Coturnix japonica: one gene and its partner. The protein of the gene in region 2 purifies or fractionates together with the protein of the main gene of each other region. This does not show direct contact. Links are inferred from orthologs where the notes say so. Each region holds a gene or a part of one and is shown on either strand. Other genes may lie near its edges. The genes, in order: KRR1 and ZNF346.

What was found.
Region 1: the proteins of ZNF346 (region 2) and KRR1 purify together in Homo sapiens (affinity purification with mass spectrometry; 3 studies listed by BioGRID and IntAct, with this or other methods). This does not show direct contact. The link is inferred for Coturnix japonica from reciprocal best matches to the Homo sapiens genes ZNF346 and KRR1.

What each region holds. Positions count from the first base shown.
Region 1 is NC_029516.1:34,295,039-34,307,354, forward strand, and holds KRR1 (KRR1 small subunit processome component homolog), read right to left. Parts: upstream 7,879-12,316; 5' UTR 7,821-7,878; coding exon 7,757-7,820; intron 6,907-7,756; coding exon 6,728-6,906; intron 6,043-6,727; coding exon 5,908-6,042; intron 5,547-5,907; coding exon 5,421-5,546; intron 5,322-5,420; coding exon 5,238-5,321; intron 4,522-5,237; coding exon 4,465-4,521; intron 4,252-4,464; coding exon 4,081-4,251; intron 3,912-4,080; coding exon 3,834-3,911; intron 3,729-3,833; coding exon 3,635-3,728; intron 3,346-3,634; coding exon 3,203-3,345; 3' UTR 2,728-3,202; downstream 1-2,727. UniProt on the Homo sapiens protein: Part of the small subunit (SSU) processome, first precursor of the small eukaryotic ribosomal subunit.
Region 2 is NC_029528.1:12,082,957-12,095,190, forward strand, and holds ZNF346 (zinc finger protein 346), read right to left. Parts: upstream 10,250-12,234; 5' UTR 10,235-10,249; coding exon 10,084-10,234; intron 9,988-10,083; coding exon 9,884-9,987; intron 9,464-9,883; coding exon 9,371-9,463; intron 8,560-9,370; coding exon 8,409-8,559; intron 7,624-8,408; coding exon 7,384-7,623; intron 5,028-7,383; exon of another isoform or gene 4,973-5,027; coding exon 4,879-4,972; intron 3,548-4,878; coding exon 3,442-3,547; 3' UTR 1,282-3,441; downstream 1-1,281.

The DNA of each region.
Region 1 (12,316 bases), on a different chromosome or scaffold from region 2:
CCACAGAACTCCTGCTCTAATGCTGCTGCTGGACTCAATCTCACCTGGAAATACTGCAACTGCAGCCCAGTGTTTCTAACATTATTCTTCCATGCAGTTAGCTGCTAGCACTTGAATCATGTCAGCATCACAGCACGTCCTAAAGAGATCATTTTTCAAGATGTAAATGTGGTCAGGGGCAGAATTCCTAGTTCTCCTTCTTGTCCTTCACTTATCTTTTTGTTTTGTGCCAGGGCCTCTTCTCTGCCATCCAGTGAGCAGTGTCACAGCAGCCACATTGGCCTACCTAAAAAGAGATAATTCTGTTTAAAAAAAAAACCCAAATCCTCACAGCAGATACAAGATCACGGGTTTACCTGCTGAAAAGGGCAGCCACTTTCACTTCCATTTGCCTTTTTGCTACACTCTTTTGAGCACCACTCAAGCCTCACGCTTCCTGTACTGCAAAGTTCCATCTGGAAATCCCACAAGGATGATACCTCTTGCAGAGAAGGGCTCTTAGGCCAGCATCTGCCCCATGTGCAGAAAGATCCTACTGATGCAAGGCAAAGTGGAGGAAAGGAAAGTACATACTATGCTGTGTCTGGGGAGCAAAACGAGCTCAGCAGGAATGCTCCCCTGCTAAGTTTAATCTATACTTGGTTTCCAGGAGAGTAAACAGAACCAACACAGAGACCTTAAAGTTCAAAACATTCATAGTGCTGTTACTGAACTTCATACCTTAGCGGCTCAAAGGGAATTCCACAGAGAAAGCTTCATTAAAAAACCTGTAAATCACTGGGGTTCATGGGGAAAAAAAAACAACCAGCAAATTTTACTGCGTGGCAACTTCCAAACAAAAAAATCCAGAAAGTCAAGGAGACAAAGCAAAGCAAGAAATGCATCTCTTTTTTTTGTTAAGGACACTCAAAATCCAGATATTTAACTCCTGATGATTAAACCCCTCAAGTTGTTCACGTTGTTTTTATGGCATACGCCCATGACTTCTGCACGATAATTGCAAAATACAGATATAAAAACAGCCATGAGGTACTTCTTTGCCTTGGTTTGTCTTCTGGCTATGAACGAAGAGCATTGCTAGATTTTCTCATTTAAGAAAATATATGCCTAACCAACAGTCCTTGAAGCTCAGCAACCAGAACAACCCAAGAAGATTAAACAGAACCCCTTCATCTCATGACAAAAGGATAAGACTCCCTGAAATCAAGTAAGTCCTACTGTGGTTTGGGCTTTGATGCCAAATCTATGTAGAGATCTCAGCTGGGGAACTTAAATTCAAAATGCACGCTTCCACAGAAGCACACACGTGTATTTTAACGTGTATGGAACAAGATCTAAATTTTAGCAAACAGAAATTTGCTGCAGGGACCCTCTGCATTGAAAAGGTCTCATCCAGACCGTAATATAACAGAGGACACTCTCTCCTTGTACCTCCCCTGGATCCAGTTCAGCTCCTCCTTACTGGCTTCAGGCTCTGCAAATTACTCTGTTGAAGTACTCACTTGTGGGATCACACCGAGAACCAAACTATTGCAGTGTCTCTGGGAACAGCCCAAGCCCTTGAGAGATCTAACCCACCTGACACTGAACTCAGGTCTCCCTGTCATGCCATCAACCACTACCTATCAAGTACTGTGTCTAAGAGCTTATCATGGGGCTGGTATCCCTAAACGTATCGGCTTACTACAGCTTCTGTGATGGGTGTGCAGTTTACTTGTTTTCTCAGTGAAGCATCTGTTGAGCAGTACTTTCTCACATGATAAGTAATTAAACTGCCATTTATGAATGACAGAGTATTGAGCACTGGAACAGGCTGCCCTGGGAGGTGGTGGAGTCTCCTTCTCTGGAGATATTTAAGACCCGCCTGGACGCCTACCTGTGTGACGTGGTGTAGGGAGCCTGCTTTGGCAGGGGGGTTGGACTCGATGATCTCTAGAGGTCCCTTCCAACCCCTACAATTCTGTGATTCTGTGTTTCCTCTTCAAGAACTAAACTCCAAGAACAGACCAGGTAACTGAAAGTCATACCAAGATTGTCCCCAACCCTAAAGGGCAGAGGTCCTAGATGATTCTCTATGCACACACACACACTGACTCTTTAACATATGTTCTAAATTCTTATTTAGACGCATAACAAAGAAAACAGCTGTGTTCTCACACCAGTTTCAAATAAAAGGCCACTAACCTAAGCAAAGTGAGCTGCAGTGTTCCAGCATAATCGTCTTTACCATATGTGCAAGCAATCAGAACTCTAAAGTCTGGTAAAGCACTCAAACACAGTCATGAAATTGGTGTGGCCCGACCACCTACTTACTATTACATTTGTTTCTCGAACCTGAGATGCATCAACTTAGTAACATCTGCTTTTCTAGTGTACTCAATTTCATCATAATTTCCACTTTTAGGAAATAACCTCTATACTTCCTTCAAAAAAAGGGGAAGGGGCTGAATAAAGGAAACCTAAAGTTTAAAAGGAACCTAAGTTCTCATTTCTTGTAAGAAATAAATTAAGAACACATGTAAAGAATGGTACCATTTATGTTCTCCCTGCAGCACATTTGCTTTGTGTCATATTCTGCCTAACAAGATAACGCTAATAAATGACCATTTATTAATGGTGTTCAATTAAGATTATGGTTGTCTAATCCTCACACGAAGCTGTGAGTTGCTTCTAGGGATACAAGATGTGGGTTTTGCAGTAGGTGAATAATTAAAGGATTTAAAGACAATATATTAAAACAGTTTATTGACATCAAGACAAGACACACAAAAAACCCCCTGCTTTTACAGAAGTAAAAGCATAATAAAAGTAATAAATCTTGCCCATCTTGACAGTTCTTTGGTAGTCTTTCATAGAAGATTTCCATTTAACTCCCACTGAGTTCTCCAACCTTTACCCTTTCACATTCTGCATCAAACTTCTAAATGTTTCTAATATGAAATGTCCTCGAAGCAGACAGGTGTTATCCAAATGTACTCAAAAGGTATGAGAGAGCAGATTTTGTTCACCAACTTTGACAATTCTGCATAGCTGCTCCAGGTCCATTTGTTAAAATGGGCTTGTGAAAAGAGAACCATCTTTCTGCCTAGTAATTTCTCATCCACACTACATTGACAGCAAGAAGTTTCCTCCAAGTCTTGGTTTTTCCAAGTGTGAGAACATTCATTATTGTAGGAGAAAATTGAGCAGAATGAGCAGTGAATTACTTCTTCCTTTTTTTCTTCTTTTCATCTGCTGCCATTTTTAACTTGACTTCTTCCATAGGAAGCGCTCCTAATTTCTTCTTCTTTGCGTTCTTTACTTTCTCCTTGATGGCTTCAATATCAATTTTTTTCTCAGTAGAAGCTACACAGTAAAAACACGAGCACAGAGAGACACAAGGTTTACTTCTCTTATTTTTCCACAGCCTGTGAGATTACTTCATGTGTATCCACATTAAACTGCATCCCGTAGCATTAGTTAGGATTCATTTTATGTTCACTAATGATTTTATAAACTATTCCAATCATTTTTACTTAATCTAGCATGATACACAAATCTTTCAACGGAATTCAAATGGCTACATCTTACACAAAGTAATTATGTGGAGAATTAACTAGTAGGGTTTAGAATGGGGGAAAAAAAAACAACTTACCTTTCTTTGCTTTCACAGCTGGCTTTTCCTTTGGTGGGATAAAAGCTTTATTTCTTTCTTCTTGTCTTTTCTTGACTGCATCAGCTTGCTTTGCCTACAGTTAACAATGACAAGTATGAAGTACCAACAGAGCCGGGCAAAAGGGAAAAAAACCAAAGTCAGAAATGAAGCACTTTTTAACTGGTTGTAACAAATTTACCTTTATTTCTTCCACTCGCTTTCGTTTCTTCTGGCTTTCTTTCAAGAAGTATTCACCACTTGCCAATTCTTTATCAATCTATACAAGAAAATTACCAAGAAGCTTTAGACAATTACACATTACAAGCAAGATATATAATATCAGGAAACAAAAACATGACAGAAAGGGCCCGTTAACTTCATCTTAACGAGAGCAGGATTTAAAACCACCATATACTCCTGCACAACCAAATAAAGTTTCAGCTGACCTGGCTTTCTGGCTGTGGAGGTGGGAATGGTGTGTACTCCTTCTTAACATTTTTCTTCTTTGGCTCCTTGCGTTTTTTCAAGTTCTTCTTCTTGAACTTAGGCAAAAATCTTTCCCAATTCTGTGTCCTCAGTTCAGGATCTTTTGATAATTCACGTTTGATCATCAAAGTCTTTGGTAGTTTTAGAACATCACAAAGAAGTTAATAAAACAATAGTATTGCAGTAGTATCTAAGAGCTCCAAACTAAAAGTTTTATCAAAGGTTCTTATAGCACAGTTTACACATATACATTTATATATATTCGTATAGCACACACTGAAACATAGAATTATTAACATAAAGCTGTGTACAAAGACTTAATGCTTTCAAAGGTGCACACCAACCTTAATGTTATATATGGGATGTATATTCTTCATTGTGTCCAGAACAACCTTCCTAACCTGTATTTAATAAAAGAAAATGAATGGAACACTCAGCAGGTACTTCATACTCTAATCAATTAAAATATCAAGGTCCCTAAGTTTCTTCAAAATCAGAACATTTCTCACCCCAAAACTAAGAGCAGATAGGCTAAAAAAACTACAAAGCCAATTAGAAGGCACAGTGCTTCAAAAATATCGTTAGCTATACTGTCATGCTTCTGATACACTGCAGCATCACAACAACCACTACTTTCATGCCATCATGGATGTTATGTTGTGTTTTAGCTTTTGACATCTATTATTCCCTCTAGAATTACTAAGAATATACTAGATGTTAATCCATGCTATATCACATTAACACTGCGATGTTTTCACTCAAACCTCTTAACTGAAACTACAGAAATTCTGCACTGTAAGCTACAGAAATAAAAGCCCAAGGGGCAGGACTAGACACACTATTCAGAAATACATGAAGGTGCCCCTTTGATATCTTTACTAAGCCTTACCTTAAAAAAAAAACCACAAAAAATACTTTTAGTTTCAAGGCGGAAAGATCTCAGCAGCTAACAAAATTCAGGAGCTAAGCCTATAGGAATTCACATAAAAGTAGCTTAATAACATGTTACTGAAAGGACAGTGGAGTAACTCTTGAGGCTACCAGACTCCGCCTGTACTCCACGCCACAGCTAGGCACAAAAGTGAGCTACATAAACTGCTCATCTGCCTTCCCTTACCTCTTTTAGCCCACTGAAAGGTCCAAGAGCTGAAACAGTGTTGCCTTGAACCATAATATAACAGTTGGTTAACAGCTCCAGGGCCTAGAACAACAAAAATGAATAAAGATAGTGTCAGCTGAAGGTCTGACACGCAGACCTTGTGTTTAAGATTTTTTATGGTAATACACTTATGAGGAATACCTTCAGAGTAGATCCTTTGGGCCCAAGAAGTCGTCCTCTTCTTTTTACAAAACTTTCTCTGTTCCTCACTAGGGAACCGATTTTAATGATGTCACACGCAACATCGTCCTGAAGAATACGAACTGCCTGAAGATAAAAGCAGCAGGTATTAACATCTGAATCCAAAAGTAACATTCACAAGAGCCAAAAGACTCATTTCAGTTGCAGATACGTTTGTTTTAAATATATATTTTCATATAATTATAGAATCACTTGAATTGGAGGGACCTTCAAAGGTCATCTAGTCCAGTTCTTTGCAATGAACAGAGACACCTACAGGCAGATCAAGTTGCTCAGAGCCCCATCCAGCCTGACCTTAAGAATCTCCTGGGATGAGTAGATACATACCTCCCTGGGTGACCTGTTCCAGCACTTCACTACTACCTGAAAAACCCATATTTTGAAAGCATACAACTTTATAAGCATTACAACATTATTGGCTACAAACCTGTTCAAATGGAACGCTTCTTGCCAGAAGTTTTATTAAATCTCTAGCCCTGATGATCGCATACGGATCAAAAGTCTTCTTAGTAGTCGTGACCGTCATGCTTCCTTCAATTAGATCCAGCGTTGCATTCACATACTGCAATGTGTGCAAATAAACAGCAAAGCAATCTTTAATTAGAAATCTAAGATTACATTTCTGGTAGCATGAGGTTAAGATGAAATCTCCTCATCTCCTTTCAAGTTAGCAGATTGTGGACAACAACACAGAAAGAATCACAGAATCACAGAACTGTAGGGGTTGGAAGGGACCTCTAGAGATCATCGAGTCCAACCCCCCTGCCAAAGCAGGATCCCTACACCACGTCACACAGGTAGGTGTCCAGGTGGGTCTTGAATATCTCCAGAGAAGGAGATTCCACCACCTCCCAGGGCAGCCTGTTCCAGTGCTCCGTCATCCTCACTGTAAAGAAGTTCTTGTGCACATTTGTGCGGAACTTCCTATGCTGTACTTTCATCCCATTACCCCTAGTCCTGTCCCCACACACTACTGAAAAGAGACCAGCCTCACCACTATGGCTCCCACACCTCAGGTATTTATAAACCTGGATCAAGTCCCCTCTCAGCCTTCTTTTTTCAAGGCTAAACAGACCCAGTTCCATAAGTCTCTCCTCATAGGGGAGATGCTCCAGGCCCTTCACCATCTTAGTGGCCCTCCGCTGGACTCTTTCCAACACCTGTTACTGGAGCAAGCTTTTATGCCAAAGTAACACCTGTATGTCCCAAATAACAGAGCAGCACATCACAACAGTAAGAACTCATACATGCTCACTCAGGGCCTTCTGGACAAGCGGCCAGCACTCCTTCAAATAGGCTTCTCTGTACTTGGGGAATAACGTTGCAAAGCTGCTTTCCTCCAGCAGCCCTCTGGGATTGTCCTCCCTGGTAAACGCTGGTTCCTTCCATCCATCCGGCACAGTGAGCAGTTCGGACTCATCGACTGCTATGGATTAAAAGACGACAGTTCGTTTCTCCATCTGAGCTATTCCATCTGCTCCCCATCTAAATACAGAACTAGAGATAACAGAACGCAGGCACACAGCAGGTGCTGCGTTCAACGCTCTGTTGGAGTCATTCTGCATCTCTCCTTACAGAATCACAGAATGACCCAGGTTGGAAGGGACCTCAAGGATCATGTAGTTCCAACCCCCCTGCCTGGCAGGGCCACCAAACATACACCTTTACTAGATCAGGTTGCCCAGGGCCCCGTCCAACCTGGTCTTGAACACCTCCAAGGACGGGGCATCCACAACCTCCCTGGGCAGCCTGTTCCAGGACCTAACCACTCTCCTAGTGAAGAACTTCCCCCTAACATCCAACCTAAATCTTCCCTCTTTTAACTTAAAACCATTTCCCCTAGTCCTGCTATTATCAGCCCTTTCGAAGAGTTTACTCCCCTCCTGGGAGTAAGTTCCCTTCAGGTATTGAAAGGCTGCAATGAGGTCACCCCGCAACCTTCTCTTCTCAAGGCTGAACAAACCCAACTCCCTCAGCCTGTCCTCATAGGGGAGGTGCTCCAGCCCCCTGATCATCTTCCTGTCCCTCCTCTGGACCCTTTCCAAAATCTCCATGTCTTTTTTGTACTGAGGGCTCCACACCTGGACACAGTACAACAGATGGGGCCTCACAAGAGCAGAGTAGAGAGGGACAATCACCTCCCTATCCCTGCTGACCACCCCTCTCCTGATGGAGCCCAGGATCCCATTTGCTTTCCTTACGGAAGTTACTGCCTTTCCCTCAGCACAAGAGAAGGATAATCCCGGCGGGCAGCAGCCCCGAGGCCCCGCACCCACCTTTGGCCGCTTTCTTCTTGCCGGGACGCCGCGCTTTCTCCCCCTCCGCCTCAGGAGCCGCCATGCTTACTGTGCTCACACAACTTCCGCCCGACACCGGAAGCGGAACCGGGGCATCGCGGCATGCCGGGAGCTGGAGTCCTACAGGCTGACAGGGCGAGACCAAGGCTGAGGCCTATGGGGGTTTGCGAGCCCCTGGGGCAGCCTAGAGAGCGGTGCCAGGCTTATGGAGGCGGGTTTATCATCAGACCTGCTCATAAAAGCCCGCCCTGTGAGTTGTTTAATTATCAGGGCCCTGGGCAACCTGATCTAGTAAAGGTGTATGTTTGGTGGCCCTGCCAGGCAGGGGGGTTGGAACTACATGATCCTTGAGGTCCCTTCCAACCCGGGTTATTCTGTGATTCTGTGTGATCATCATAGAATCACTGAATGCCTTAAGTTGGAAGTGACCATAAAGGTCATCCAATTCCAACAGCGCAGCTTAAAACCATTCCCTCTAGTTCTGTCCTTGCAATTAATTCCTTGTAATATCCACATTCATTTTTCCCTCTTTTAGTTTCAAGCTATTCTCCTTTTCCTATCACTATCAAACTGTAAAAATTCGGTCCTCCTTCAGCTTTTAAGCTCCCTTCAAATACTGGCAATCTGCAATGAGGTCTCCCCGGAGCCTTTTCTTCAGGCTGAACAAGCCCAACTCCCACAACATTTCTTCATAAGAGATGCTCCAGCCCTTTGATCATCTTCGCTGCCCTCCTCTGGACCCCCTCCAACAGCTCTCCCTAGTATCCACTATACACATGTGTAAAATATCCAAAACTCAGTATTGACACCCAAAGACCTTCCATTGTGCTGCACTGCTGCCTTTACCCGCTGGGTGGCACTGACCGCCGCGACAAAAGGAGCAGCCCCAGCGAGCCTCGGTGCCCGAGGAGCAATGGATCCCCCTGCGCTGCCCTGGCAATGAGAGCGGACAGAGTGCGGCTCAGAAGTGTCTGGTGAGATGCACCTGGATCTTCTCCACATTGCAGGCACGCTCCAGGGACGTCTGTCTCCAAGGAAATGGCGCTGTTGTTCTGCTTTAATTATGCCATAATTAAGTGCAACAAAACTGTTTGGAAAGAGCATACGTGCATGGCAGAAAGGCTCTGATATTGCAACTGGCTCCCCTGCAACCATGAGCACTAAACAGGGAGTTTATGATCCTGTGTTGATAGAGCACTTGGCATTCACTACACCGCCCTCATAGAATCATAGAACCAGAGAATCGTGAAGGTTGGAAAAGACCTCAAAGACCATCAAGCCCAACCATAGATCCAACCCCTCTACTCCTGCTCATGGAATTGTAGAAGCATTAAGGTTGGAAAAAAACTACTAATATCACCCAGTCCAATCATTGACCCATCTATGCCCACTTCCATCCACAGGGTCTCCAATTCCTTTCAAAACCAGACTGAAACCCATGAACGTGACTACTGAGCTATTTTGCGTACAGGAATATTAAGATGCAGACAAGATATTTTCCTTATTTTATCTCCAGGTGAGATCAGCCCACATGCAATGTGAGGATGAAAGTATATCACGGTACAGGGAAGAAAATCTAGTCTCAAATGAAGAGACAACACCATCAGACTTGGATGATGTGACTCGGGAAGGCCCCTCATGTCATCCATCCTGCTCCTGGTGGAGACAGTGACTTCTCAGCTTTCCTCTTATCTCAGGTTTTGCAGAGGAGCTGAATACAAGGAAGCCGCCTCCCTAATTCCTGTCACAGACCAGGTGCTCCCATAGACCCTTGTCCTCCTCCAGTCAGCCCACTTGGGTTCAGACGATGACAGATTTATATCACTTTTGTCAGACACTGCTCAGATGCAATGGCCAGCCCCAGCATGTCTGGCAGTGACAGACTGGGAGGTGGGACAGCTGTCTGGGGCTGGGGACTGCTGAGGGTACAGGGAGATGGAGGTTGCTGCAGGGAGATCCAGCAGTGCTGTACCAGACTGTGATGGGGCAACGTGTTTTCTTAAAGCAGGAGAACTAATCTCACAGAACTGTAGGGATTGGATCCTACCTCTAGAGATTATCAAGTCCAAGGCTCTGCTGAAGCAGCTTCCCTACAGTAAGGAACATGTATCACATTCCCTTTGTGTGATGGCAGACCTGTGTGCAGAAGGCTCCTTTGAAGTCTTTTGGCTGAATAACACAGATCCTAATAATAATAATAATAATAACACAGCCTCCAAGACCCCTACATCTGCTGATCCAGTTGCTGGGCCCTGGTGGAACCCAAACCAACTCTGTGTGTGTGTCTATGTGCGCTCACTGCTTCCCTGTTAGAAGCAAAGCAGACAATGAAACAGCACAGTCACACAGCTTCCCCTGAATGCACTTCAGGCTGTATGATAAAATGGGCAGAGTGCTGCCGTTAGGCTGAAGGTGCCTCTATTATGCAGCAAAGTAATTATTTCCCAGTCAGTAGATAGGACTCCAGCCACTTGGCACTTTCTTACGTGCCATTTTCAAATCCAAAAGAGCAACTTGGGATTTTGTGATAATTCAGGCAATCAGATGAGCTCATGCACATGGCATTCATTCACTAGAAATGCTGTGCAGATCCCATTCAGCCCCAGCACTCGTAAATCCATGTGACACTTTTATCTATTTATAAACTTTTAACAGCAGGTTATGATTGTTATGCAAGCCATTTTCCAGGGATTAATAAGCAGCTTGTGTTGATGGCAGTGAGAAGAACCATTAACTGCTCTGGGGCAGTCATTAATCTGTAGTAAATGCTCAGCACCTGCATCTTTTCTATGTAATTAAATAATCGATACTGCCTTTTGATTCAAATAACTGGAGAATTGTATCTCAAATCTGTCTTAGCTCAGGATATTCTTAATTCTTTTCATTTATGGCAGGTCAGGAAACAGCCACATGGGCAAGTGAGAGTCTCTCATGCAAAACACCTCAAGTGATCAAAATATAATTCAAACTGGATAAAAAATGGTTGAGAATGTGTTGGCCTTCTCATGTTCATATAAAAGTCCTCCATTATTTAAGTAAAGTTATGGCACCAACTGACCCAACACTCAGAGGCAGCCTGACAGAATAAAAATAACCAAGCAGAGAGCTCCTCTGCCCAGCTACCTCCAAAAAAGCCCCGTCCTCCTAACACGACCAAGGCTGACATGGCTTTGCTCTTGATTTCTCTTTCCTCTTCATTTCTCTCTCTAGCAGAGGTGTAGCACTTTTCTGGTTCTGTTTTATTCTTGACTTCACTGCTGAGTGCAGCAATCTGCAGAGGTGCTGACAGATAAAAGTAACGGTACCCAATGCAAACAATGCTGGTGTGGTGCTGCTGCCAACTGCAGGGAGCCTGAGGAGGGGGAGGTTGTCACAGGTGGCAAGCAGGAAGTAGGAGGAAAACACAACTTTCTGAAGAGAGAATGAGACTTAGTGTATCATCACAGGGTCATAAACAAATTCTCAGTTCTGGGCTCTCTTTTCACCAGGTAGCAAATCCATACCTTGCCACAGGTTCAGGATGGAGATATAACTGCAAACCTTCCTGCTAGTTGGGTTAAAGGAGAAAAAAGAGCAAGCACTCACACCATCAGCTATCTACTAATAGTGCAAGGCTGAAAAGCCAGGGGGGAGATTTTATGAGAAATGAGAGGTGTATCACTGATTCAAGAGCAGAGTTTTCAGATGTAGTACTTCCAAGGCTAGGCATGGAGAGGTAAGGAAAGAGGTTAAATGGTTAAAGGCAACCATTTAAATTCAGCTCAGCTGACTCTAGGAGACTGAGGGCTCCCCTTTGAAAGAGAGCAGAAAGGCAAGCACATGCTTACCCTAAAGAGGAACAAGGAGCTGGAACAAGAGAGGACCATGAATCATGAGATCATCTGAAAGGATTCACTGGAAAACCATAGCAAAGATAATTTGAGGCAGAAGGAAGAGCCCAGAATAAGAAGAAAAAAGCAACAGACAGAAAGGATGACAGCTTTGTCTGGGGAAAGCCTTGCCGCAATAAAACTGCTGTCACTAAGAAAGGGATGGAGCCAAATGGGAAAAGGAACTCAGTGTCATTATGAAATCAAAGCAGCAGGCTTAAATCAAAAGGTCTTTGGAGCAGGGGATGTGTCTAATCATGCATCGTACAGTGATGGACGGGACGGGGCTTTTTTCTTGACTTGAGCGTCTGGGGGTTGTCAGAAAGCAAACAACACACAACAGAAACTGTGCCAGGACCTGAGATACATACAGAGAGTGTGCAGCTGAGAGTGGTCAGGAAATACATTCCTGAATCCCTCCAAAATATGTGATTAAAATAATATTCACATTGTACCTGAGCAGCCAGGCTTTGAGCATTGCGGATTTTTAGGAATGCACAGTAGTGCCGGTGTGTGTTATTCTGAACTGTGCTGATAAAATACTCCCTCGGTCTATTTTTCTCTTGTACTAGTATCCAAGCATTATTATGCAGATTTCCACTATAGCAAAATTACAGCAGAATAAATAGCTCCGCTATACACGAAGGGGAATCCTATTACATCTTCAGTA
Region 2 (12,234 bases):
TTGTTCCCTCTGTGGAGGTGAGAATACAGGGCCTGGCACAGGGGCTGCTGTGTGATGGATACGGAGCCCCAGCCAAGCCCCCATCAGCAGGCACTGTGCTCCTTCCAAGGCAAGCAGGGAGCAGCATCCTGCAGCACAGCATGAGCAGTGAGATGCCCATCCCCATCGCAGCCCCCTGGGGACAGCCATGCCACACTCAGGAACAGGCTGTAGGGGTGCTGCCACCCAGGGTGCCGCACACCCCATGTGCTGAGCAATACTCTGGGAGCAGCAGGGTGCTGCAAGGCAAGAGCCGGGCCACCCCTGTGTTCCCAAACCCTAATGGCAAGCAGGCACCCTGCCCTACATCTGCACCCGATTTACTTGCTGGAGACAGCGGGGCCACGAGGGAGGGCAGTGGTTAGAGCTGCAGATGGGGCTGAGCTCCTCCCCAGCCGAGGGGCTCCCAGCGCCGTGCTGGGGCTCAGCTGGGCAGGCTCTGCAGAGCTGGCTATGGAAGGGCAGGGGATGGCGGCACTCCCATGGGGATGTGGCCGTGGTGGCTCCACACCCTGTGCTCGCTGCCAGCACGGAAGGCGCTGGGGTTTGGCCATGGCAGCCGCAGCCCCGGCACAGCCAGGTGCTGCCCGCAGGGCTCCAGGCAGGGACAGGAGGCACCGCTGTGGGATTAAAGGGCCATAGTGTGCTCAGCCTCCCCCAGCACACTGCCCCACTGCTGGGTCACAGCTCCCTTGGCATCACACTGAGGGTGCCCAGGATAAGTGAGGGCTGGAGCGTGCCAGCTGGCCCTGGCAGCAGGACATAGCCTGGACAAGGCACAGCCTGCAGCTGGGCAATGGGGCACCACTGCTGGGTACCATCTAGGCTGTGCTGGGAGCACATCCTGCCCCAGTGAGGCGTGGTGCAGACAGAGCAGTGGCTGTGCACCATCGCTCTGCTCCCACGCTGCCAGGAAATGGTCCATTGCCCCGTGGCTGTGATGGATGTTTTCAGCACAAGCAGCACAACAGCACATAGAAGTGCCAGCGCTCTGTGGGTGCAGACTGTCCTGCCTTCCCCTTGGTGACGTTGTGCGCCCCAGGCCACGCAGATGTGGCAGAGGAGCACAGTGAAGGCACTTGGCGGCTCCGTCCGGATCTCAGGGTGCCCGGGGAGAGCAGATGGGAACACAAACCTCCCATCCCTCCCAAACAAGTCAGAGGGGTCCGTATCCTCTCTGCTTTGCTTTGAAGGATGGCAGAAACCCAGGAATGGCTGTAGTAAAGAGGCAGCACCCAGAAGTAGTAATAAACACTCTATTCGGAGAGCTTCACCTTAGGGAAACAGCAGATACATAAACATCATGTACAGAGGAAGGCAGAACTGTCGGTACACAGTGGAGTGACACACCAGACTGGGCAGTGCTGGAAATGGATCCCTCCTGGTGTCAATGCACATCTAGCAGACACCTGCCCTCGTGCAGCGAGACGAGAGCGAAGCAGTGGAGATGGGAGCTGGAGGCCATCCAGCAGCACCAGGCACACAATGCTGCCTTTACTTCACTGCAATTTTCTGCTGGTTGATCAGCTCGCTTGGTTTAACAGGACTCCCTCTCAAGCAGGAGGCTGAGGTCAGCCCTCAGACGTAGAACAAGACTGGAAAACATCAGAAAGGCGAACCCAGCCCAGCAGTAGCCTGTCCTAAGGGGAGATGGCAGATCCTGTACAGGGTGAAGGCAAACAAAGCTTGTGCACAACCTTGAGCTGGGGGTAGGGGGAGGAAGGCACTCACTCCAAGTGCAGAGATCAGCAACCAGCTCTCTCCCATTGCTTAACCTGATCAGCACCCGCAGGGTTTTGGAGGTGCCCCCCCAGCCTGGCTCTCAGCCTCGCAAAGGCGGCAGCTGCTCAGCCTGGAACGCAGCACCGGCAGTGCAGGGCCCCACAGTGCCCTCCAGCAGCTGCTGCAGCAGTGGGAGGCAGCAGCTCTGCTCTGCACGTCCATCACCTCCACTCCTGTCAGCCAGGCAGGTCCTCGTCCTCCAGCTCCACAGCTGGGACAGGGACAAAGCCATGTGGTGCCCAACATGGAGCAGTGGCGCTGAGCACAAGGCCAGCCCGACAACACGGCCCCTGCGGTGGCCCAGCAAAGAACAGCACTGCCCTCGCTCAAGGGCGGAACATCTGAAGGACTCCTCCTAAATGCACAACAGCCTCAGATCCCCCCCTTCCTTCTGGGAGCTCTTTGAACAGACCCAGTGCATTAACACCACGAAGAGACCATCTGTCTTAATTTCTGGTTTTGAAAGACAGAACATCTCCGTGATGGTACAAATGTGTAAGAACTTTGAGGAGAGGGGTTGGGCAAGTAGTGCCTAATGAAGGACTAAGTAAGACTTGGAGGTTTCCAGCCAGCAAACAATTCAACCAACCTACACTGCACTATCCTGTTATTTCTAAACTCATCTCTATTCTTGTTTCCCTTTAAAACTCTCCTCCTCTATCAGCATTTTGCTGGCAGGAGGGAAAACGCTGCACTTACACACAGACTGACAGAACCCGAGATGGACCCTTCCTGCTCACCTTCCTCTGCTGACTGCATTCAGGTCTCGGAGATTTCCACCACTGCCAAGTTTGGCTGAGACTGGTTGAAGTTATGAAGGGTAAAGACACACACAGTGAATGATCACATACACCTGTTTCCATAGGAAACCAGGCTAAACTGTTTCTTCCTCCCACGTGGCAATGCTCAGAGTGAAGGGCTGAGCTGCCTGGAGAGCCACGAGCTCCAAGTCCTCCATCAGCCCAACGCTCCCACCAGCAGCACTGTATGTACACCATAAAACCACGACTACTTGTTAGACACCAAACGACACAGCTCCTCAACTGCAGCACTGAGAAAGGCTCTGACAGCAACCAGCGGCTCAAGGAATTCTGCACACAAACCTGCCCAGGGGAATCACCACAAGAGGTGCCATGCTGCCATTTCCTATGTTAGTTCTGTAAAAAGCCAGGCAACCCACACGGCGTCCCATTCACACTGCATAAATGCTGCTTGCTATGGATTAGGAGATCTCCTCCAGCTAAAGACACCTCTAAGCACGGGCTGCTGGCCTCCAGGTGCAGAAATCCACTATTTGCTCTGGTGAGGGAGGAGGTAGATGTTACCAGCCTGTTGCCAGACTCTCCTTACACCAGATACACACCTCTCACACTGCACCCACCTTTACAGGAAGCAATTACACAATGAAAACTACTCTAAGGGAGTGAAGTATTTGCTGTCTACCAAGTCTCTTTCAGCTGGATCCTTTTTTGGACAGATTCAGTCCCTGTTCTGCTCAACGAGTGCATACAGGAGAGTAGGGCTTTGCTTATCCAGAGGGATAATGAAACCATTGTGGGCTGGCAAAGGATGTGTGTTCTTGGGCCACCAACAACTCCAAGAACGGTGCTGCAACTCGCTCTAGAAGTCTTGGCTGAAGTAACTGTAGCCTCCTGGAGCAGTTGTTTCTTCCCGGACATACTGCTGTGGTGGGAATGGTCCCACAACCGGCACCGCTCCCGGCATCCTGGACATGGGAGGGAGAAAGAGGAAGAGAAACAGTGTCAGAATGGCTCTGAAATCTGTCAGCTGCAATCAGTGCTCAGAAAACACGGCTGCCAGCAGAGTAACAGGCTGCTATAGATAAGTCAACAACTTGCCAGAAAAGCTTCCAAGTGGATTCTTATCCTCTGTGTGTGTGTGTGTAAACAGACACCTTTAGTATGGCAGAATTAGCTATTGCTTAGCTCAAGGACCGTGAAGAGCTTCCACTACAAAGCAAGTATCCTGGCTCCTTTCAGACTGCAGAAGCTGGTCTGGAACAGGACTTAGCAGCTAAATCCAGAAGCAGCTTTCTGAAAGGGAATTATTTGGCTGAAAAAGCTGGAACAACATCCATGGCCTTAAAGTGAACAGTTACGCATGTGTGCTGGGAATGCCTTCAGTGTTATCTTTCTAGAACGGGATAAATTCAGGCTCAATGTCTGCCATCCACTGACCCTGCCGTGCTGTTTGAGAGTTGGCCTTCACAAAGAGACAGATAGGGCTTATGCCCTCCCAGCAAATACTCAGGAGTGCAACAGGGCTGTAATTCCACAGGTACACAATGCAAGATTCCAGTTTTCCTTTTGGTCTGTCTGGGAAATTCAGTCACCATTTCAGGCAGTATCTCCTAATACCTCTTTCTTCTAACCCACTAACCAGCTTCTAAGCTGTCTCACCACCCCGGGTCAGTTACCAACCCTCCTTAATGTAACGCTTTGAAATCAGAGATCTGAACTTTGCCAGCGTCCAGAGTAAGTACATTCAGTGTTAATCATTTCCCTGGCAGAAGACGAACGATACGTGCAGGGGATTCTCCTGTTTAACTCACCAGATGTGAGAGTGAGTTCAGAAATACAGTCTAGGTTTCTGGAGCGTGGTGACTATGTGCCACATTTTACAACAAGCAGATCCAAGGGAGACCAGAATGACAAGTGGACCTCCACTACATCACACTTTGCTTCTGCTCACATCCTGGTTCTTACAGAAGTGTTGTTTAACAAGAATCAGGATGGACGTGCTCGCTGCAGAGGTCCACGCTGACCTGAACCTCTAAGACACAAAAGCAGTTGAAAGGCACTTCTGCTACAGCAGCATCCTTGAGCTGTCTGCAGATGGAGCTGCTGAAGAGGCTGAGAGGGCGCAAACCTACACTGGTTAATTGGCTTCAGAGCAAACAGTACAAGCTTGCACAAAGCACATTGTTCTGCTTGCGAGGGTCAGCTTGAAATACACATGCAATACTGTATTAAAGCTATATTGAAAACAGTTTGAACAGCAAGGCTGGAGATACAGTTAAACAATACAGTTACTTACTGATTCTTGTGCTTGAAGCCACTGATGTGAGCTTGGTACTGCTCTATGGAGTTCAGTACTATGTTACATGTGTTGCAGGGGTAGCCCTTCCCAGCTGAAACAGACATCAATGTTAACACACACAGCACAGCTAGCCAACAACTTGGTGCCTGAGGTAGAAACAAGTGAGATAATCAATCACTTGATGTGTTAAACAACTGCTCAACAAAGCAAGTAGCAAATGAATAGCCTGACCAGGCAGGGAGGTCACGGGATCCCATATCCCACCAGAGCTGGGTTAGTGGTATGTGGGAAACAGGGCCAGAAAACCTTTCCTGATCAGAACGTGGGTTTGTTATCTACAAAAACAAACACCCATTTCCTGTAAGCAGTTCACAATATCAGATGAGGTGAAAACTTAGCAATTAGAACAGCAAACCTGACGTTCTAATGTCTCTGTAACTCCACTTTTCTCCCCAAGTCCCACTTCTCCCACTCTGTGCATCTCCTCACAACAAATCAAGGGAGATAATACGTTTGTAAATTTGATGTTTCAATTAAGAAAAAAAAAAAGAAAAGAGGGGAAAAAAGAAGCAGCCAAAGGAGATGATACAGAATGTCAAATTCCACAGCGCAGCGCTCTGCTAAGCCTTGCTGAGGGTGCCAATTGGGAGCATTAAACTCTGTCCCTTGAGCCCTTCAGTTACAGTCAGTGTTCAAATTAACTGCAAAAAAAAAGCAAGTCTCCAGCAATAGCTGCAGGATGCAGACTGGTGCTTCTGTGTATCACAACAGTGATACTGCTGGAATGAAAGTTCTGGGGGTCATAGATAGCAAACAAGCAAGCAAAGCAGCAGAGCTGGCCACAGCAGCCCGTAATGGGAAAGTCTTGGCATACATCCCTGTGACACTACATGCCCCTCGGTTCCGGCTCCCTGGGGAAGGGCTCTGCCTGGGAGTCTCACAAAGTAAACACTTCCTTAAGGGAAAAGGGGACACTCACTCTAGGGGTGCAGAGCAGCATAAGCACTGAGTGAGAAGCACAGTCCTTTACGGCACACTCCTGCACCCTACACAGTAGACTCATAGAGGAACTTTAAGCAGAAAGGCATCTTGGCTCTGCTGTGAATGACACTTCATCTGCTGAGGGTCAGATCCCAACAGGGATGGTGTGTTTAGAGATCAGAGCCTTTATGAAAGTATATATCAGAATTCAAGCCCAGTTTAGTAAGAGAAAACAAGAAGCTTGGGCTGGGAAGAACTGTGCTGGCATGCCAGCTTGGCATGGCTGTCAGCACAGAGAGACAAGCAAAGCGAGCAGGGAAATACACCCCTGAGTGCAGCCTGTCTCACCAGAACAGCTCCACACTATGTCACAGCTCTGCAGCCTCACCTGGAACAGCTTAAACACCACAGAGCTGTGGATGGAGATACTCCAGCTCTGTAAGCACTGCACAGAACACATCGATCACACGGCAACAGCACTGCCCACTTTCCCAGCCTGGGCTGGGGCTCCACAGCCTGAGTCACAACAAAACGGAACCACTGATCAGGCCCCGCTAATTAGGTAAAAGCTGATGGGTAACACAAGATTTGAATCACCTTTTCCATCTCCCACATGACTACACAATGTGGGAGAGAATATTGCTGGGATAATTGAGTTTAATTTCTCTTAAGTGTTACCAGTAGCTAAAGGTGGCCCGCAAAGTATTAGAATAATTAATCTTCTGCTTATGGGCATAGTTATGACAGGGAAAGAAGCCCTTGAAGAAGATTTTAAGATGATTTGTCTGCTTATTTACTTCAAGCATCCAGCAGGGTACTACACAATTCCTGGTCCAACAGAAGGATGCTGGAAAGAACAAGGGAGTTCACTGTGTGTGCTTTCACTGGACTCCAAGGGCTTTCATCATACAGAAGTACTCAAAAGGAACAGATCATAAACCAAATGAGTGTTAACTGTCTGCCTAAAGTTCCTCCTTAATAGCTCAATTTTTTCCACATTCCTGCTTGCTCCAGAGAGAGTTGCATCAGATGAAGTGCCCACACAGAGGCAGAAAGCATTCGGGGAGAAATCTCTCTGGCTTTCATGTGCTTTGAAGCAGCAGGTGCAGTTAAACCTATTTCTTCCATCTTTGCCTAGTCCCTTAGACATTTTTGAAGCATCAAATGCCACTTTTATCTTTCCATTTTGGATGCAATCCACCTAGCTGGAAACAGCACTGGCCAAAATCCCTGGATTATCTTCACAGAGAATAAAAAGGACACGTACTTGATGAGACAACATTGCAAAACACAACTCAAAGCTCCTCACGAGCAGCTACAGTCTAAAAACCTCTCCTGCTGCCAAGGCATTACAATACCAACCAGATCAGTCTTGTGAGACATCATCAAGATCCTCATGACAAGCAATTCTCCCCTACTCCCTCCACACAGAACCCCTCATTCAGAGTCCTGTCAGATGCACAGTGCTGCTCTCCCACCCTGCTCTCCAGCTCCTTACCAACCTGTCTGCTGTGAACTCACCGAGGAAGGACGATGTCGGTGCGTCAGGAGTTCGGCCATAGCGTGCCATCAGCTTGTGTTTGGTTTCTTGCTTTCTGTGTTTCTTACCTACATAATGTTGTTTTGCCATAAGGGGGTTGTTGAAAGTAGCGTGGCAGAGGCTACAGAACTTGTCTGGGTCTGTAATGTCCTTGTTCTCTTCATTAGAGGATACAGTAGAGGTGGGGAGGGTAGCGGGATGTTTCTGTGGGGGCACCACTTCTGTAGGATGAATCCAAACTCTTGGTCAGTTAAATAGAAAAAAAACCCAAAAAACAAAAAAACGAAAAAAGGTAATTTTATTTCCCCCAAACATGCATTAAACAACCAAAGAAACCAACCCAACTCAACCCCAAAACCATAAAACAGCCCCAAAAAGAAACCCAGTCAGAGGATGTAAGACCTCTGGATAAATCCGTGTTGCTCCAACCTCCTCCCTTATTGCTCCAGAACTGGAAGGCACAAGGTAAGACAACTCCCAGCAGGGGGCACAAACAGCAGAGAGGAGCTAAACACCTGCAGGCTCCTCTCACAGGGCAGCAGCAGACAGCAGAACTATGTGTGCAGCCTCCCTTCTTGAAGGCTCCTCACAGCCAGACCCTGCCTTGAGAATGGGCCGTGGCAGAAAGCGGAGGCAAAGCACGAGGTCAGGGCAAGCACACAGTCCCACTTCCCAGCCTCCGGCTGTTTGCAGCTCAGAAGTCGCCGAACCACAGAAGCTACAACCCTGTAGCTGAGCAGGCCTGACAAATTAATCTCACAGCAATGGGCTCTGTCCCATTTCTTGCATGCAGGAGCATTTAGCCAAGCCATTCTACCAAGCACGTTGTTGATAAAGGCCATGGATCTGGAGGCAGGCTGCTGGCTTTCCCTGCTTCACAGCCAACACCACACAGATGTAACAAGGATGACATATGTCCAATAGCACCTCCCAATGGAAAGTAATTACGTGCAGCATTTTCCTACTTTGAGCTTCACAACACAAAGGCACTGCAGGACAGACACACCTTCCACTTTAGGGGACTGTTGCTTCAAGTTCTTGGCATGAGTCTTCCCCAGGTAGTGAGATGTGGCCACAGCAGGAGAAGAAAAGGTCATGTTACAGATGGGACAACACTTGTTCCTGTCCTCCCCATTGGTGCCTTCCTGCTTGCTCTCCTGTGCACACAGAACGGCTGAGGTTAGGAAAAGTTTGTTACAACGAGGAACTCTAAGGCATTCAAGGAACTGAATCATCAGAGATGCTGAATGTGAAGTTGTTTGAATAAGACTTCCATTCCGCTCCTTCAGCAGAAGTGTTCCCACTTCAGATTCTCTTTTCCTCAGTCTTTTAGTGAAACACTACAGGTTCTGAGCCCAGAACAAGGCTAACTGCAGGGCAGCATGAACCAATCTGCCCCCTGCTCCCTAAGGTGTGAGTGAAGGAGCACAAACAGCGCTATCAGCTGGGCCATCAGCAAAGAAACGCCAGCTGGGCAGACAGTGGCAGTCACTGCTAGGCCTCACAATGCATGAAGGCAACCTCCTTCATCTCCCTTCCATCCATGCAACAAATCTATGAGGGTCAGGGACTACAACCAAAGCAATGACAGAAGTAGAATCTATTTCCCAAACGAGTCATGGAGCAGACGGCTGGTGAATAAACCCCTTAATGACCAAGAAGATGAAATAAAACTAAAAAAAGTGCAAAAAAAAAAACCCAACAACCCATGACTTAAAGAGAAGTGTGGTGAAGCAGGAACCCTGTGATATGCTGTCAGTGAAACAAAACGTTATACATGCTGTGATAACACTGACAGCTCCTTGCTTCTCTGCTCTTCTTGGAGGGCCCTTCAGAAAGAAGCAGCATGTGGTTCTTTAGGAGGGAAAGGCAACAGGAGCCGTACTCACCAACAGGGCTTAACCACAGAGCCCTTCCCAAAAGCTGTTCTTGGAGCCCACACCCACACAGCACAGGCTCCCCTCTCACCTTGGCGTCCAGCTTCATCTTCTTCCCAGGTGCCAGCTCCTCTTCGCCGTGGATGGAGAGATACCTCCGCACCTTGTTGGCGTGTTTCTTGCTCTGCGGGCAGCCACAGCGTTACCCATTGCTACCTATTGCAACCTATTGCTACCCATTGATACCCATTGCTACCCACTGCTACTAATTGATACCCATTGCTACCCATTGCTACTCATAGATACCCATTGAAACCTATTGCTACCCATTGATACCCACTGCTACCCATTGATTCCTATTGCTACCCATTGTTATGCATTGCTACCCACTGATACCCATTGCTACTCACTGATACCCATTGCTACTCACTGATACCCATTGCTACCCATTAATACCCACTGATACCCATTGCTACACATTGATGCCCACTGATACCATTGCTGCCCCCCGTTACCCATCGTTACCCATTAATACCCATTGCTACCTATTGATACCCATAGATACCCATTGTTACCCATTAATACCCCCCGTTCCCCCCCTCACCTGGTAATGCGCCAGTCGCTGTGACTCGGAGATGAGCAGCGCGCTGCACACCTTGCACTGCGCCTCGGTGAAGATGTGCCCGTTCTCCCGTATCAGCCGCTCCACTGCCAACACAACACAAACAACACAGCACACACCGATCTCAGCCCCATCCTCCCCCGGTGCCGCCTCGGTTCCGCTCCCCGCCCCGTGTCCCTCACCTGCCTCCTTCCCCACCGGCAGCGCCGCGGCGTCCCCGTTGCTACCCGCCCCGTCCGCCATCTTGGCCGCCCCGGTCGCTCTCGCGAGAGCGGCTTCCCGCGGGAGCGCCGTGTGCAGCACGTGTTGGTGGGGCGAAGCGGCGGCGGCCATGTTTGTTGAGGGCAGCGTAGGGGGCTGTGCGGCGCCGCCATTTGTCGCCGGGATCGCTGCAAGCAGGGAGGGGGGACTTGAACGGCTGCTGATTCAAGGCTGGAAGACCGCAACTCAATTAGTGGACACCGTTATGTTATTGCACCGTGTGAACTCAAGCAGTAAATAAGCCATCCATCCCGGCTGTACCCGAGGGGCTCCAATGGAGGCCTCAGCTCCGCTCCCCCGCTCCTTTAGGCCGCGCCGCCCGCACACGACATGGCGCCACCCGCATCGCACGGCCACGCCTTCCTGCCTCCCACGTGACGCGACGCCGACGCCGCCATCTTGATTGAGGGCAATGAGGCCTTCTCCGCCAAGTTGAGTGCGGGTAAGAGACCCGCGGTGCGGGGCGGCAATGGGTGGGATGGGATGGGATGGGGGCGGCGTGCGGGGTCCCGGTAGATCCCGGTAGATCCCGGTGGATCCCGGTAGATCCCAGCAGGTCCCGGGCCCGGCCGTGTCCCGCGGGGCCTTTTCCCTTGCGGTCAGCCCTATAGGCCTCAGCCCTGGGGCGGTACCGGCGGGGCCCGGCCCGGCTGTTGGCCCCGCACCGCCCCGTGCTGCCCGTCCGCTGTGTGTCCCTGTGTGTATATATGGGGGGGGGGGGGGGGGGGGGGGGGGGGGGGGGGGCCCCCCCCGGTGGGGGGGGGGGGGGGGGGGGGGGGGGAGGGGCAGCACCGTGTCCATCCCTGTGAATGGGGGGAAATGGGGGGTGGTTGTTTCCCACACTCCAGCCTGAATCTCAAACGGCTCCAAAAAACCCATCGGCAATGAGAGTCATTCATTTGTTGGCTCCGTTTTTGAAGCATTTTTCAAGCTGTCGCAGCTCTGGCAGGTCTGGAGCTGCGGTGTCAGGATTGAGGATGATTCTGTGGGTAATTGCTTTCTGATTCATCAAAGTGATGGACGAGGGGGGACATGACAAATAAGCACGAGCTGGGGATCTTCAAGGATATCCCTAAACATGGGCCTGGGGAACGGCCATTGTCAGGGGGTCACCTTCACTGCCAGAGCGTTTGCAAACTCAAAGCTTGGATCTCAAAGCTGGAAAATATGGGAAAATATGGGAGGCAAAAGGTGGGTTTGGCCAATTCAGGCTTTGTTTCACTGGACCTGAAAGCAGCCTGGTCCTTTGCAGAAGTGCTGAAAGCAAAATGCGGCTCCTATGCACAGCTTCCTTATCTGCTTGTTTGTTATCTGCTCTGCTGCTTGTTTTCTTCAGCTCTATCAGCTGGGCTAATAAAAGCTGTTACTGCTCCTACTCACAGCCCCGCGCAGCTACAAGTGATCTCTCCTCGTCTCGTTCCCTTAGTTACATTCACACAGAGGCTCTTTGCCACAGCTCCCCTCGTTTTCGGCAGCGTTGTGGGAGTTGTGTGGTTACATCTTTTACATCTTCTTTCCTCTCCCCCCCCCAGTTTTAAATGTTGGAGGTAGGTGACTCATGGTAACTCCAGCTGATCTCTTATTTAGCGCAGCGCATCGAGCGGAGGGGAGAGCTGGTGATAGCAGCATGGATTTGAACAGGACTCAAACACAAACGCTTTGCAGTTCCTTGTTGCTGGCTGCTGTGTTTTGCTACTGACATCTCCAAAGCAGCGACCCTGCCCAGGCTCAGAACTGAAACCCCTGTGTGTCCTGCTGATAACGGGGTGCAGTTCTATTATACCAGGTGGGCATCGAGGTTCATCTCTCTGGACAGAGGGCAAAGAGACCAGTTGGAGCTAAAGATAAAAAGCAGAGCAAGTATAACTATGGTGTTCCAGCAACAGCCAAGGTTCAGCTCAGCTGGAGCAGAACAGCTTTGTTTTGCAAGAGCTTCTCTATAGAGCAGCTCTTGTTTTAATTTTCCCATCCCAAATAGACAAGTGTTTTGAGACTGCAGTGATGATTGCAGCCGCTTCTGGAGCTGTGCGTGCAGTTTGTGCAATGTTCTGTCTTTAGAGGGCTCAGCAAGT